Neurospora crassa OR74A: one gene and its partner. The protein of the gene in region 1 binds, or shares a complex with, the protein of each later gene. Links are inferred from orthologs where the notes say so. Each region holds a gene or a part of one and is shown on either strand. Other genes may lie near its edges.

What was found.
Region 2: NCU02808 (region 1) and NCU04063 share a complex: the UniProt entries of both Schizosaccharomyces pombe proteins name them as parts of the nuclear pore complex. The link is inferred for Neurospora crassa OR74A from reciprocal best matches to the Schizosaccharomyces pombe genes nsp1 and sec13.

What each region holds. Positions count from the first base shown.
Region 1 is NC_026501.1:9,051,628-9,059,007, forward strand, and holds NCU02808 (hypothetical protein), read left to right. Parts: upstream 1-2,369; 5' UTR 2,370-2,976; coding exon 2,977-4,827; intron 4,828-4,936; coding exon 4,937-5,134; 3' UTR 5,135-5,484; downstream 5,485-7,380. Other genes in the region: NCU02809 (hypothetical protein), read right to left, coding at 5-813, 965-1,366, 1,457-1,532; NCU02807 (uncharacterized protein), read right to left, coding at 6,468-6,507, 6,701-6,832, 6,930-7,045. UniProt on the Schizosaccharomyces pombe protein: Functions as a component of the nuclear pore complex (NPC).
Region 2 is NC_026506.1:2,620,528-2,627,561, reverse strand, and holds NCU04063 (protein transporter sec-13), read right to left. Parts: upstream 4,281-7,034; 5' UTR 4,059-4,280; coding exon 4,056-4,058; intron 3,962-4,055; coding exon 3,914-3,961; intron 3,846-3,913; coding exon 3,730-3,845; intron 3,662-3,729; coding exon 2,914-3,661; 3' UTR 2,620-2,913; downstream 1-2,619. Other genes in the region: NCU04064 (hypothetical protein), read left to right, coding at 581-747, 831-2,619; pex20 (peroxisome biogenesis factor 20), read left to right, coding at 5,195-5,314, 5,392-6,492. UniProt on the Schizosaccharomyces pombe protein: Component of the coat protein complex II (COPII) which promotes the formation of transport vesicles from the endoplasmic reticulum (ER).

The DNA of each region.
Region 1 (7,380 bases):
TTACGAAGGATAATGAGGACTGCGGTTGTTGTGGTTGCGGCTGAGGAGCAGGTGCTGGAGCTGAGAACCCTTCGGCTTCTTGGAAGTCATCGTCGTCAAAGCCGGCATCGTCAAAGTCGCCAAAGTCAGCATCGTTGTTGGCCTCGGCTCCCTCCTCAAAGTCGTCAAAGTCATCCCCAAAGTCATCGGCGCCAGCCGGAGCTGGCTCAGCAAAGTCGTCCCCAAAGTCGTCATCACCAAACCCGTCATCGTCGGGGGCTTTATCCCCTGCTTCAGCAAATCCGTCGTCGTCGTCGTTGTCGAACCCATCTTTTTCAACAGGCTTCTCCTCTTTCTGGTCAAAGCTGACATCGTCCTTCTTGTCCTCTTCTGGCTCGACCTTCTTCTCGTTCTCTTGACTGGGTTCTGCCTCGTCGAAGTGGTCCTCTGTGTCTTCTTCCTTTGTATCTTGCGTCTCAAGCTCTTCGCTGGCATCCTCGAACTCGTCTCCTTTCAATGCTTCTTCGGTGTCGCGGTCTTTTGACTGTTCCTCCTCGTGCTTCTCGTCCTCCACCTCTCCATCTTGAGCCTGCTCAGTCTTGACCTCTACATTCTCCTCCTCCTTCTTGGATTCATCTTCATCGGCGTCTTCGTCGTCGGCGGTCTTGGCGTTGTCTCGTACGACATTGTCGTGCGCGTCATCTTTTGCCTCCTCCTTTTCTAGAAGACTGGGCCCCAATGAGGGCGAGTCAGGGGATGGCTGGTCTAGATCAGATGACGAGTCTCTAGAATGGATCGAGGCGGGACTCTTTAATGCAGGTGGTATTGGTGTATCTACGCAGGAAAACGTAAAGTCAATACAAAGGAGATCTTGTATAATTTGCTGGCTCAAAAAAAAACAAACAAACAGGCATGTGCTTGTGAAAGTGTGTGTGTGTGCGCGCGCGTGTGTGTGTGGCTAGAAAGAAGTGCTACGCATCCGTACCATTGTCACCACCCTTCTCATGCTCGACCTTTTGCCCATCCGCCTTGACAAGCACGTCGGGAGGACTGTCAACCCTGTGCCTCGCTTCGATCTCATGGTGGGTGACGGCACCAGTGCTATCTGGCGTCTCCTCCACTACGGTCATGGGAATGGGGCGCCCGCCTGGAGTGGACGGCCGGCGCTGGTCATGCTCCTCGGTCGAGAGCTTGGTGTCTGGGTCTGGGATAATGGCAAATTCATCCGGCTTCGCGTCCCCTTCCCTCATAGAATACGCCTTGGTCCCCGGGACCTCTCCATACGCCGGCTTGTCGTCTACTCTCTCGACTCTTGTTCGCGGGATGGGCGAGGAGGGAGCTTTGGGAGAAGAGATGGCATCGGAGTAGTGATCTTCGGTGTCGGAGCCTGTTGTCGCGTAGAATGAATGGTTAGTTGGATATCCATGTGCCGACTTTGTCCAGAGGTCTCCCAAGTTCCCCATCAGCTGTAACCTACCAGGTAGCTCATGAGCGCCCGGGTCCATGGTCCCCTGCCTCTCGGGAGGCGACAGACTGTTCCTGCGCGAAGCCATTGTGATCTCGAAGCGTAGTCGCGGCGGTCTATACGATCAAAGAACAAGAGGATTTCCGACTATGGTGAGTGCTGAAGGAAGCGCAGAAATGTATATGGTAGGTAGGAAGCAAGATAGGTGTATGTATATGTATATGGATATGGATATGGATATGGGAGGATCGGGATCGGGGATCGGGGGGCCAAGGTGAGGACTGAGGAGTGATGTAGTTGGTGTGGGGTGCTACAGTATGTTTACTGCTGTGAGGGACAGGACTGGAGTGTCCTATAACAAGACGGGAGTAAGCCGACTCTTATACTCTGCAGGAGATAGGTCAATTGCACGCAGCAGATGGCCTGAGGTCAAAGTGAACTGAATCAAGATTGGGTATGCACACAGACGTTGCGGCTGACTTGTGGCATCCCAATGTCCAGACGATGGACAGCAATGTGTGTGGAGAGAGACGAGAGAAAGGAACAGCTTCCGGATGGCCTAGAGTTAGTCTAGAGGATGGGCTCACGATGGCCTAATCTAGAACATGGGGTAACCACCACCCCAAGCTTTCCGAGACGACTGAACGGGGCTCCTGCTTCTTGCTCGGCTACCCTGGGACGGTGCGGTACGGTACGGTACGGTATGGTACTAAGGTACCGCCGTGTCCGGAAACTGTATGGTAACTCGCTGCGTAATGTGCTGCAACCAGACGGTCCAGTCAGAATGCAGAAGAGCATCACGGCAAGTGGAAAGTCAGCACTTCGCTTCAGTTTATGAGGCCCGCCCCGTCATTGCTCAAGTTCTCCGTCAGTTGTCGAACTGCCGTCAAGCCACATATTGATTGGCCGTGCACGCTTGGCACTTGCTAGTAAAATGTTAGACGGGGTAGGTGAGGTGAGGCTGACCACTTCACCTGGGGCTGACTCGTTGCAGTGGTGACTGGAGTGCTCCAATAAGCGGGAAATGCTTGGCCTTGTTGAGTGCGCGTCCGGGTCCCCAGAAGGGGAAAAGCCCAGGCGCGCTGCAGCACCTCCAAAAAAGTGGAAAGGCCTGTCGCGACGGACGGAACCTTGACAAACAGAGACCGAGAGACTGAGTGACGCTGCCACACTTTCTTTGCTTTCTCCAATCCACGCCCAAACGACGTCCACGTCCACTCCACCAAACGGATTCCGAACCGACGTCCAAAACTCGCGATCCGATAACCACGGCTGGACCATTGCATCACTTACTCAAAACCGAGATCGCGCCGATCTTCCTCTTCGCATTTCAACGAATCGTTGCTTGGGTTTCCGCGCGCTCCCTGTTGTTGTTGAGGTAACCGCAACAGCCTTGGGAAGTGGGACGCTGTTGTTGACTTTCTAGATTTTGGTTGACGACGACTACCCAACCACCAACGCCTCATCCATCCATCCAACCAACCAACCCCGAAACCTCGACATCATATCGTCAGCCTCACATAATCGCAATCATGTCATTCTTCGGTACACCAAGCTCCAGCGCGGCCTCGGGCCAACCAGCAACAACTGCTACATCCGGTGGTCTCTTCGGAGCCTCCTCCTTCGGCACCCCAGCAGCGAGCTCGACACAGCCAGCCGGTAGCTTGTTTGGCGCTAAGCCTACAGATGCCTCGAAACCTGGAGGACTATTCGGAGCCAATACCACCTCGACTACACCTTCGCTTTTCGGCTCTGCTTCCAACACTGCCGGAGGAGGCAGCACGACGCCTGGCGCAGGCTTGTTTGGAAACACCACTGCCAACACATCGACAACCCCCGCCGCTGGTGGCTCGAACTTGTTTGGTGGCGGGGCCAGCACCACACCCGCAACAGGAGCTCCTTCGGGAGGTCTGTTTGGAAACAATGCTTCTACTACTCCGGCTACCGGTGGTCTCTTCGGAGCTGGCGCCAACTCTCAGACGACGCCGGCTAAGACCTCGTTTGGACTAGGATCGACTACCCCAGCCGGTGCACCACCTGCTGCTGACGCTTCCAAGGCCGCGCCCTCTCTCTTTGGTGCTACCCAGCCTGCCTCTGGCAACCTCTTTGGAGGAGGAGGAGCCTCGAGTACCCCGACCACAACCCCTGCCCCCACCTCGGGAACAACACCATCTCTGTTCGGAGCGAAGCCAGCCGAGACCACCACCTCTGGCACCACTTCTGGTCTCTTTGGCGCCAAGCCAGCCGAGCCTGCGTCCAGCACAACTCCCGCGACGACAGCCACTTCCGGATCTACTCTCTTTGGCGCGAAGCCTGCGACCAGCGGTGGCAGCCTGTTTGGCGGAGCCTCGACAACCCCGGCTACGACATCGACCACGACCACCACAGCACCAGCAACTTCCGGCCTCTTTGGTGCCAACACAAGCAAGCCGGCCGAAGCCGCAAAGCCAGCTACGGGTGGTCTGTTCGGCGCCACTCCTGCTACCTCAGCTCCTGCCACCTCTACCACCACTGCTGCTTCCGGCAGTCTGTTCGGCGCCAACAAGGATGCTACCACTACCTCTACTGCCCCAGCATCAGGAGGCTTGTTTGGATCGACTACGCCTTCGACGACCACAACCACGGCGCCTGCTCCTTCGTCTTCGACCACAACTAGCGGCCTCTTCGGTGCGGCCACCACCAAGCCCGCCACTACCACAGCGGCCACCACCACTGCCGGTGGGAGCACCACCGCCACTGCTGGAACCACCAGCAGTCTCTTTGGAGGAGGAGCCAAGCCTGCGGACACCACCACCTCCAAAACCACCACCAACAACACCACTACTGCCGCCGGCACCACCAGCACCACCGGCAACCTCGCCTCCACGACCACCGGCCCCACTTCTACTCTCCCGCGGTTGAAGAACAAGACCATGGATGAAATCATCACCCGCTGGGCCACCGATCTCTCCAAGTACCAGAAGGAATTCAAGTCGCAAGCCGCCAAGGTGGCCGAATGGGACCGCCTCCTGGTCGAAAACGGCGAGAAGATCCAGAAGCTGTACACCAGCACGTACGAGGCCGAAAAGGCCAGCAACGAGATCGAGCGCCAGCTCTCGGGCGTCGAGTCGCAGCAGGACGAGCTGACCGCGTGGCTGGACCAGTACGAGGCACAGCTGGAGGAGTTGTTCAAGAAGCAGCAGCTTGGATCCGGCGGCGAGTCAAAGGCTGCTGGCGGTGTTGGCGACGGCTTGGGCCCCGATCAGGAGCGCGAGAGGACGTATAAGCTTGCCGAGAAGCTGACGGATAGGCTGGATGAGATGGGCAAGGATTTGGCCAAGATGATCAAGGAGATAAATGATATGACGGGCACGTTGAGCAAGGGGAGCAAGCCTGATGATCCGGTATGTTTTTCTCTCTCCCTTTTTTTTCTCCTCCTTTTTCTCTCCTTTTTCTCCATTTTTCCCTTATTTTATCCAATCACTAACGCACACGATAAACAAAACACAACAGCTCAGCCAAATCGTCCGTGTCCTCAACGGTCACCTTCACCAGCTTCAGTGGATCGACCAAAACGCCGCCGACCTCCAAGCCAAGGTGGCCGCTGCCCAAAAGGCTACCAGCGGCATGGGTGCCCACCAAGGCGTCAACGAGTCGGATGCCGCTCAGAGCTTTTACCGCTCGTACAGGGCCGGTGGTGTGAACAGGTGAAGGGAAAGGGAAGGGAAGGGAAGGGAAATAAATGGGCTTTGATGATGCTGTATTGTAGGAAGCTAAAGTAAAGTGAAGTATGAGTGAAAGAGAAAGAGAAAGAGGCTGAAGAATCGGATGGCGGCGAACTTGTCTGTGTGTGTGTGTGTGTGTTCAGTTTTGAGTACCCTACCTACCCTAGTTTGTTGGTTTGTTGGTTTGTTGGTTTGTTTTGTTAGTCTGTGAAAGACCATCATGGTATGATTTGAAACGTCTTGTATATGTATCGTGGCTGTGGATGGGGGGGGATCGATGATGTTAATTTACGTAGCTGAGATCTGTCTGTCTGTCTGGCTTTGGGATGGGTTAGGAGACAAGAAAAAAGGCTATGCTATGCTAGGCTGGGCTAGGCCACTTATTCTAGGTTGTGGAAGCAAAAATCAATAAACAAGATGGGTTCAAGGTAATGGCCACAGTCCAAAAAGGGGTTCATTACATCTGGAAGGGAGTTCATGTGTCTGTTTTTTTCGATATATTGTCTTCATATGATGTCGAGTGAATATCATACATATCGGACTGCCGAACTGTACATATAGGTACCGACTGCCAGGAGTTTCATTTTGAAAACCGAGACGTAGAGCATCATTGTTGTGACTCAGAACGTCGGTGGGTATCAGTGAAATTTCTTATAAGACGGACTTGAAGTTGTTAATACTTCAGTAAAGTACCGTCCCGTCTGCTTTCTTTTTCATGTTCCATGTAAGTGGCATTAAGATAATGAAGAGTCTTGAGTCTGGATCAAAGTAACTAGGTTTTGAAAAAAAAAATTAGTTACGGAACTACGTAGGCTGGCTTGCTTTCCTGATAACTTCATTACTCTTCAGCCGCATTATGAGATTCTGGTTCAAGGGCAAGCCGATGAACCCAATATCGCCCCTACTGCAGCACAGGAACTGTTCGACTCGTTTTGGACTTTCTCATAAGCTCGGTTCTGTCACGGTTTTGCTTTAGACACTTGTTCGTCCCATTGATGCAACTTGTGAGGTCCATAGGTCCCCCGGTCGTGATTTTGTGATCATCGATCATGGCTTTGCTCGCTATATTGCTACAAGGGGTAAGTTTGAGATATGTGTAAGATGACACTCATCCTCGGCGCGCCGTCCGTCCCCGTAGCCCAAGTCCCATCCTTTCTTAACCCCCCCAAATCCTTGGCCCCTTCTCATTTCATTGCATTCATACTGCGTAGGCGTAGTGGCGTGTGTAGCGATGGGACGTCGCGAGAGGGAATGATAATAAGCAGAGGAAGAAGAAAAAAAAATATGTTTATGGGTTGTTATTGTTGCTTGTTGTTCGTTTAGTTGCGCTCGCCGCCCTGCTCCCTGGTGATCTCGTCACTGTTTCTCGAATGTTAGTAACTGCCTTGTTTTTAGAACTTTCTTTTATTTGTGAAGGAGAATCGAGGCCCGGCTTCCTCTGATGATGGTGTGCGTAGCTGACTACGGCCCATATGATGCGCGCCCGGCCTGGTGTGTTTGTGGCGACTATGCGCCGGTGGTGGCTGTTGGCTGGCTGATGGGTCGTTCTTACATGTGATCAGAAAGAGTCTTGAGGTGCTTCTGCTGCTCGGCGAGCTTCTTCTTGAGCTCGAGGAGCTTCTCCTTCTCGCGCTGGCGGATAGCGAAATCCTCGTTGGCCTTCTCGCGGCGCTGGAAAGCGTCACTGGAATGGGAGGGTATGATGTCAGCGGGTTTGAACTAGTTGGAGTCGCCGCGTATCCACGTGCGCGTGCGAGGAACGCGGCGGAACAAAAACTCACCCTGGGCCGCCGGTCTTTGGGGGAGCACCAGTCTCACCGGCGAGAGCGCGGGAGGTGGTCGCAAACGCCCTGGAAACGGTAGGGCGAGCGAGCTTGGAGACGGTGGTGCGGAGCATCTTGATGGTTGGTTTGGTGGTTTGGTTGGACTAGAGTGACGTGGGTTAAGCTTTAGCGGATGGGGTCTCTTTTCTTAGGTTGGCGTGCCAGAAGACAGATTTGATGGGTGATTTGATTAAAAAGAGTTGAGTGTATGTATGGGAGAAGATGTGTTACAACAGTTGGACAGTCGCGGAAGTTGGTGTAAGCTACCTTTTTCTATTGAATCGTCGAGTTAGTTGTCAATGCGATTACGTTGTGTAGGCGATGGTGATCCAATTGCGTAGTGTACACTTGCTTGGGATGACCTGACGAAAACTGGAGACTGGAGTTCGGGGACGGGGATGGAGCTTCT
Region 2 (7,034 bases), on another chromosome or scaffold:
AGTTGGTTTGATACTTTCCTGGAATAACCTGGCCAGCCCTTTCCAAGCTGAAAGAGAAATGTCGGGTTGTTTGTCACGTTGATTCCCGTCCCCATCCATCATATGACGTGCTGCCCTGGGCAAGAACATGTTCTGGAGGGCTGCGGTGATCGCTAAAAGCCAAGTTCTGCCAAGGTTTTAACGAGAGCTTGTTCTGTGGAGGGTCACATGGCCCCACTTTCCATAGAATTCAGCTGCCACCAGATGCCAGACAGTGATTTGCTGTAGGTACGTATCTCCATTTGTTTATGGTCGTCGTCTCTTAACAATTTCTGGCGGCAGCACAACACCAAAACAACACCCAGCTTTGATCGTGACATCAACGTTGACTATCCAGCTTGGCAAGTCATAACCTCCCATGGGGTATTCTTCTGCATCTAGAAAAGGAAAGAGACGAAGGGATAAGTTGGTGCTCCGACGAGTAAGAATTTCTCGTTCAGTGTCCAAGGCCTCTTACTCAGTTGTAAAATCGTGAAATGAGAAAGGGTCTGACAAAGAAACTATGCCAGAACTTCATCATACACTGGCAACTCCGTAGAAGATGTCCAGATGGACTCTAGCACTGAGACTTAGGCGCATCACCGTCGCTTTACCAAAATTTTCGCACCAGGCGTCCCATAGAAGATTCTACAGTAGCAGTCCCCCGTTTGAGCCTTCGATAGAACGCTATACTGTTCCATGCGCCTCTTCTGGTGAAATTACCGTCAGGTAGGTGGTCAACATAACATCAACAGTCTCCTTGGGAGCTGTGAGTGACGAAGGCCAATTTTAGACTGATATCTGTGGCTCAGTCTGTACAATGTCGCTGACCGGCCGCCAACCGATCCTTTAATCATCTGGATCCCGCCCTTTGCTGCTCGGGACGAGACTGACCCGAACTATCAACTCCCATCATGGCTTCACACATACTCGGCCGCTGTCATTCACTATAGATGGTCTGGCTTATACGACGACAGACCACAGCCAAAACTCAAGCCAAAGATTGAAGAGCCCGATTTTGACGATGAAGGATATCAATCGAGCGAGACGCCTAATAGCAAAGAAGAAGAGCGACTACCCAAGGAAGAGGAAGAAGATATCAGCATAACTCCCCTTCACTGGCCCACCCCTATCCACGACGTTCTCTTTGGCTACTCCTGGATCATTCAAAACCTCCAACCAAGATACCCCAAACGCAAAGACGTCTACATCTGCGGCTCCTACCTTGGCGCCAGTCTGGCCGCCGGGCTGGCTCTCACCGAGTCGTACCCACACGCGCGCATGGCCGTACGCGGTCTCCTCGCCTACAACGGCATCTACGACTGGACCACTTTCTTGCCTGACCACCCGATCCACCGGCCCAAGGGCGACGACCGCATCCTTATCGAGGAGCAGCTGCACAAGCTGAACCGCGACCTCGACAAAGATGCAGGACCGGCTGCCACCTCACCCATCATTGCCCATTATCAGCGTCGGCTCGAAGATCTCTTTGGCTCGCCGTCGGGACTGTTTGACAGCTTTGCTAGCGCTTGTCTGTTTTTCCACACGGCGGGACTTTTTGTTCCGACGACTTTTGATGAGAAGTATGTTCCTGAATGGCTTTTTCCGCCACCTCCAGGGCCATTGATTACCGGTGCCGGTACCGGCGCCAATGGTGTCAGCAGCGGCGACATCAACGTCCCCGCGGACGTCCCCAGCGAACCCCACGACCCATTGACTTCCCCCTCTACTCCCCCTCCTCACCAACCTCCGGCTCCGTCGCCCCTCCCAGCCAGCCAAAACCCCACCGACGACCTCGATCCCGACAACTCGGAGCACTCGGAGCACTACCGTATGCACATGTCGATGATCAACGACGCCGAAGGCGAGCCGGACGAGGTAGCGGCCGAAGACATGCTCCAACAAACTCTCAAGGTAGAGATTCTACCTGGCAAGTTCCCACGTAAGAGCTATGTGCATTTCCCGCCGAGGCACTCCATGCTTAAGCTGCCGGATACGTTATTGTTGTATGAGACGCCGTCGGCGGAGTTGCCGTTCAAGTGTGATGCTTTGGCGAAGATTGGGTCGTCGGAGGGGGGGAAGGATGATGGGGTTGTTGATGCCGCGGCCCGGAACAGAAATCAAAAGGGACTTAGTGGTGTTCAGAAGCAGAAGCAGAAGAAGATAAAGGGGGAGGAAGAAGAAGAAGAAGAAGAAGGCCAGGGAGAGAAATACGAAGAGGGCGACTCAGCACAAGGCGAAGCAGAGGAAAAGAAGAAACCCCGCCCTCGTCTCAAAACGCGAAAACACCGCAAACCCCCGGTCGCCATCACCGCTGGCGAGAACAGCTTCCGCACGCAAGCGTACGAACTGGCGCTGCTGATGCAGCGGAGCATTGAGATGTTGGAACTCAAAGAGCGGCGGAAGTGGGACGAGGATTACTTGATCGACCTCCACCACTGGGAGCTGGAGGCGGCGAGGAGGGTCAAGGTGGCGGACGTGGGCGTGGTGGACGATCAGGACATGGCGATTGGCGATTTGGAAGGTGTTGGGGATCTGGATGAGAGGGGAAGGGAGATTGTGTTGGGATGGTTGGAAGAGAAGATGGATAAGGCGCGTTGATGACTTGGGAGGTGGGATGTACTGGGTCAAATGTACTCCCCGTAAGCCCGAGGTAATGTGATAGTGTAAGATAAAACTCGGTATGATCTCTTCATTGTCCCGAGCGGTTCATGTGAAGCCAACCTGGATATGTTCTTGTGAAACCGAAGGTAAGCCTGCTCCTTTTCGCTGGCCTCCCTTATTTATTACCCGATAACGCCCACTCTGGATGATGAGTAGATATCCTACCTACCAATATTATGCTAACGCTCGCCACCCATCATCATCATAACGTGACCGAATTCCCATGTGATTTTACTCCTCAATGGTCTTGACGTTCTCCCACTCGCCCTTAAGGTTCTCCTTCCATAGTGTGACCTTGTTGTTGTCACTGCTGGCGGCCAGCACGTTTCCGCTGAGCGACCAGCTAACGCGCCAGACGGCCGCATCAAAGTTGAGAACCTTGCACTTCCACTCGCCCGGGTTCGCCGCGTCACTCGTCCAGATGCGCACCGTCTTGTCCTGCGAGGCGCTTGCGATATAGCTCTTCTGAAGCACAGTCGGGCTCCACGCAACGTCGCGCACCCAATCTGTATGACCCGCCAGGGGCTCGCGCTCGAGCTTGTATCCGTTGGTCGCGGGGTCGAAGGTCCAGATCTTGAGCAGGTTGTCGGAACCGCCAGTCACGAAGCGTCTGTTGCCCGTCGAGCCGGGGCCGGGGTTGCTGCTGACGATGCTGCCGGGGGTGGTGGCGGGGGCCCACGAGACCGAGTTGACGCCCAGGCCATGGGCGTGGAAGATGTTGTGCTCCCAGCTGTTATCCTTGAATTCGAGAACGCTGACGTTGCCGTCCGAAGAGGCGCAGGCCAAGAGGCATCCGGCTTCGTGGGGAGACCAGGACACGATGTTGACGCTAGCCTTGTGTAGGGCGAAGTCGAAGATGCGCTGCCAGCTGCCGGCTTGCTCGCGCCAAATGAGAACCTTGCCGTCGTAGCCTGCCGAGGCGAGGATGTTGCCGTACTTGGGGTGCGCCCATGCTACGGACCAAACTGCGCCATCGTGTCTGTCGGAAGAAGGGAGGTTAACCCATTGTCCATATTGTTTGGTGACTGTAGCCCATCGCAAACATACCCCTTCAATGTCTCAACAAGTCGCTGTGATTCGCCCTCGATCTCGAAGATCTTGATGGTGCGATCCGAGGAGCATGTCGCTAACCTCCTGCCGTAGTAGTCGAGAACTGCATCGTGCTGCGAGGGTCGGTTAGAAACAGAGGGATGGTTGTCGGGAAACGTCGAGGGGGCGATGTTCAGCGTACAATCATATCATCGTGGCCAGAGTTGGCGATAACCTGTGCGCCTGCGGTCTGTCATTGTCGCGATAGCTTCATGTTAGTGGATAGGTAGCCAAGTAAGGGGGAGGGACGCCGCCGGCAGCTTTGGGGGTGTAAGAGGACGTACCATGTTGATTAATTATGGAGTATTGAAGATTGTGGAAAAGACAAATAGATTTGTATGGAGTTGTATTTGCGTCCTTTGGGTGATGAATGAATTCAGACTGGAGTTATAAAGTACACTACTCAGAGTAGTAGAAAGGAAAAAGGGCCGTCGTTGGGGATTCAGTTGCTGTTAAGTTGGATCACCACGGACGGGCATTGGGAATGGAAGCTGCAAGCTACAGGCAGTGGACGCCCAGGCGACACGATAGGTGAACCCGTCTTGCTGCGCTGGAGCTTCCACTTGACGCTTGCGCAGTGATCCCTGTCGAGCGATGTGGTCCAGCTGGCAAGAAGTCAAGGTGAGCAAGGTGAGCAAGGTGAGTGGAGCCTTTGTCGGTTTCCTCGTAGGCTCACCGTGGTGTGACGTTATTGTAACCAGGTCGGAGGCTCGAAGTGGACTCTTGTTGAGACAACCAAGGTGGGGCAGGTGAGGCAGGGGCCCGTTGACGACCCCACGCGTCGCCTGGGCTCTCCCGTCCCGCTGTAAAAGTCCACTGAACATGCCGTGCACATGATAGCGTGTGAGCGCATGGCTACCCCGACGGGAATTTCGCCAGTGCCGTGGCAGCGTTCACTCCCGTCACAAAAAGTTGGGATGGAATCTCACTCAACCAGACCTGACCATTTTGACCCTTCTTCCAGAATTACTTGTTCAAAATCAGCGACGCTTTTTGTTTGCTTGCTAAAAGGATTTCTTTACACACAGTAATCAGTCGCGTCCTTTTCGTGGTATTAGGTCCGGCGTTGTTTACTCTTTTTTTTCTCGTTTCCATCTTCCCCCCTCTCCAACTACTTTTCTCCAAATACTTAGCGTTGAAGACTTGAGATACCGGCGGGTTCGGTGACTACTATCGCGCTGTTCAAAGAACCTCGGCTTCTACTTTCGCGCCACTAATCTACATTACTTACAACTTACAACTCTCCTTTCGCTCACTCATCCAAGTCTTCCTCGCTCTACAATAATTATATACTCTCTTCAAGGACATTTCGTTCCTCACTCTTTATTTATAAAACCTTCTACTTTTGTAATTTCTTTCTCGAAACTTACCGTCACCCGCGCTTCTCGCCTTTTTGCTTCCAACAAGTCAAACCTCGCTCAACATGTCTGACAGCATGTGCGGCCCGTCCAACGGTGCCAAGAACCTTCTTGCGCACGCTGATCGCGACCGCACTCTTCACCAGGACCGCCTGGTCAACTCGCCCAACTCGGCTGCCGGTGCTGTATGATATGATCGCTTTCTTTTGTTTTGTCTTGTCGTAGAATATCCAGCGTAACTCGGTGCTAACAACCCATCCAGTCCTTCAGAAACCGCCCCTCCTTCGCTGCTGATGGTGCCTTTGAGACCTTTCAGCAAGCCCCTATGCTCGACGCCCCGGGTCCTTCCCTCGGCCTTGCGAATAATACGTTCCTGAACAACCCAGGCGTCCCGGCTTTTCATGCTGGTCCAGCGCCTGGTGTCTTTGGTCATGCGGTCGGAGGTGCGCCGGCTACGGCCAGTCCCATGCACTCCTCCCGTGCCGCTGCCCACGGCTGGGTCGACCAGTTCGCCAGCATGCAGCTCCGTCAGGACACAGCTCACGCGGCCCCGGCCATGTCACCTCAAGCCATGCCGGCAGCCATGTCTACTGCAACCCACAACTCCATGATGGGCTTGCAGGACGACCATATGGCCTACAACACTCGCCAGTTCGGCGGTATGGGAATGGGTGTGGGTACGGGAATGGGAATGGGAATGGGATTGTCCATGGACGATCCTTTTGTCATGCATGGCACAGCCACGAACAACTTCACTCATCAGCAGCCTCAGTTCGGCCTCAACGACCACGTCGAGTCGGCACTTGACATCGAAGCCTTTAACAAAGCCTTTGGCGAGTACGACGAGTCTTCCTTTGAGCAAGAACTTGCTGAGTGGGCCGAGAAGGAAAAGGCCGAGAAGGCTCAGCAAGCTCAGCAGGAGTTTGAGGCTGCCGAGGCCGAGTGGATGGCGCAGCACGGTCCGAGCGCCGAGAACAACACCAAAGTCGGCCCCCCCACCGACGAGGAAATGGCCACTATCGATGCTGATCTGGAGAACCTCGCTGAAGAGATGGAAGCCAAGGAAGAAGCCGAGGCTCGTCGTCGCGAGGGCAACGAGGAGCTGGCCAAGGCAGCCAACGCCATTTTGACCTCGGTCGCCGACAACCAGTCCGAGAAATTTCAAAAGTCGACTTTCCTGGATTTGATGCGTCGCATCGGCAACAGAGAGGTCGAGGTCGACGGTGATAAGCTTGTCGATGTGGCGACTGGCGAGCAGGTTAGCACTAGCCCTTCCGACTTTGGCCCCAACGACGATGTCTCTGGCTCTTTGGATGCGAACGACAAGGGCATAGCTTCCGCTGAGCCTGCTTCTTCCGCTTAAGTTTTCGGCACCTCAAAGTCGAGGATACCGTGTTTCGACCTTGGCTCACTGCTGGTTAAATCGAATCACTGTATGGGGACTGGGACGACCAGTTTGTTATCATTGCAGGCGCGACATCGTATTGTTACATGATTTCTCACTTTTGTTACGGCTTTATTACGGTTTAGGGGACATCGACACGATGTCGTGTCGAGCATTCGATTTTGTTGCTGCGCATTTCCGAGCATGGACTGGTTTCCAAGGGACGTATTTTCACATTGCTGGGATAGAAGGAAAGGGTTTACATGAATATGGAACTGTTTGGTACGAAAAGGATTTGCTTCAGTCATGGCTTGGGTCAGGTTCCGATACCAAGGGTTTGGGCATGGCGTTCAAGAAGGCCACAGGAGGCTAGGCAGGCGCATGGTTCATACTTTCTCTCACTACTTGTTACATGTCAGCATTGTTTCGGAGTATTATTACTATTACACCGGCGTAATAGGCATTTGTTATTGTACTATAATTATTCTCACAACAACAAGCAGGAGGCTTATCATTCTCAT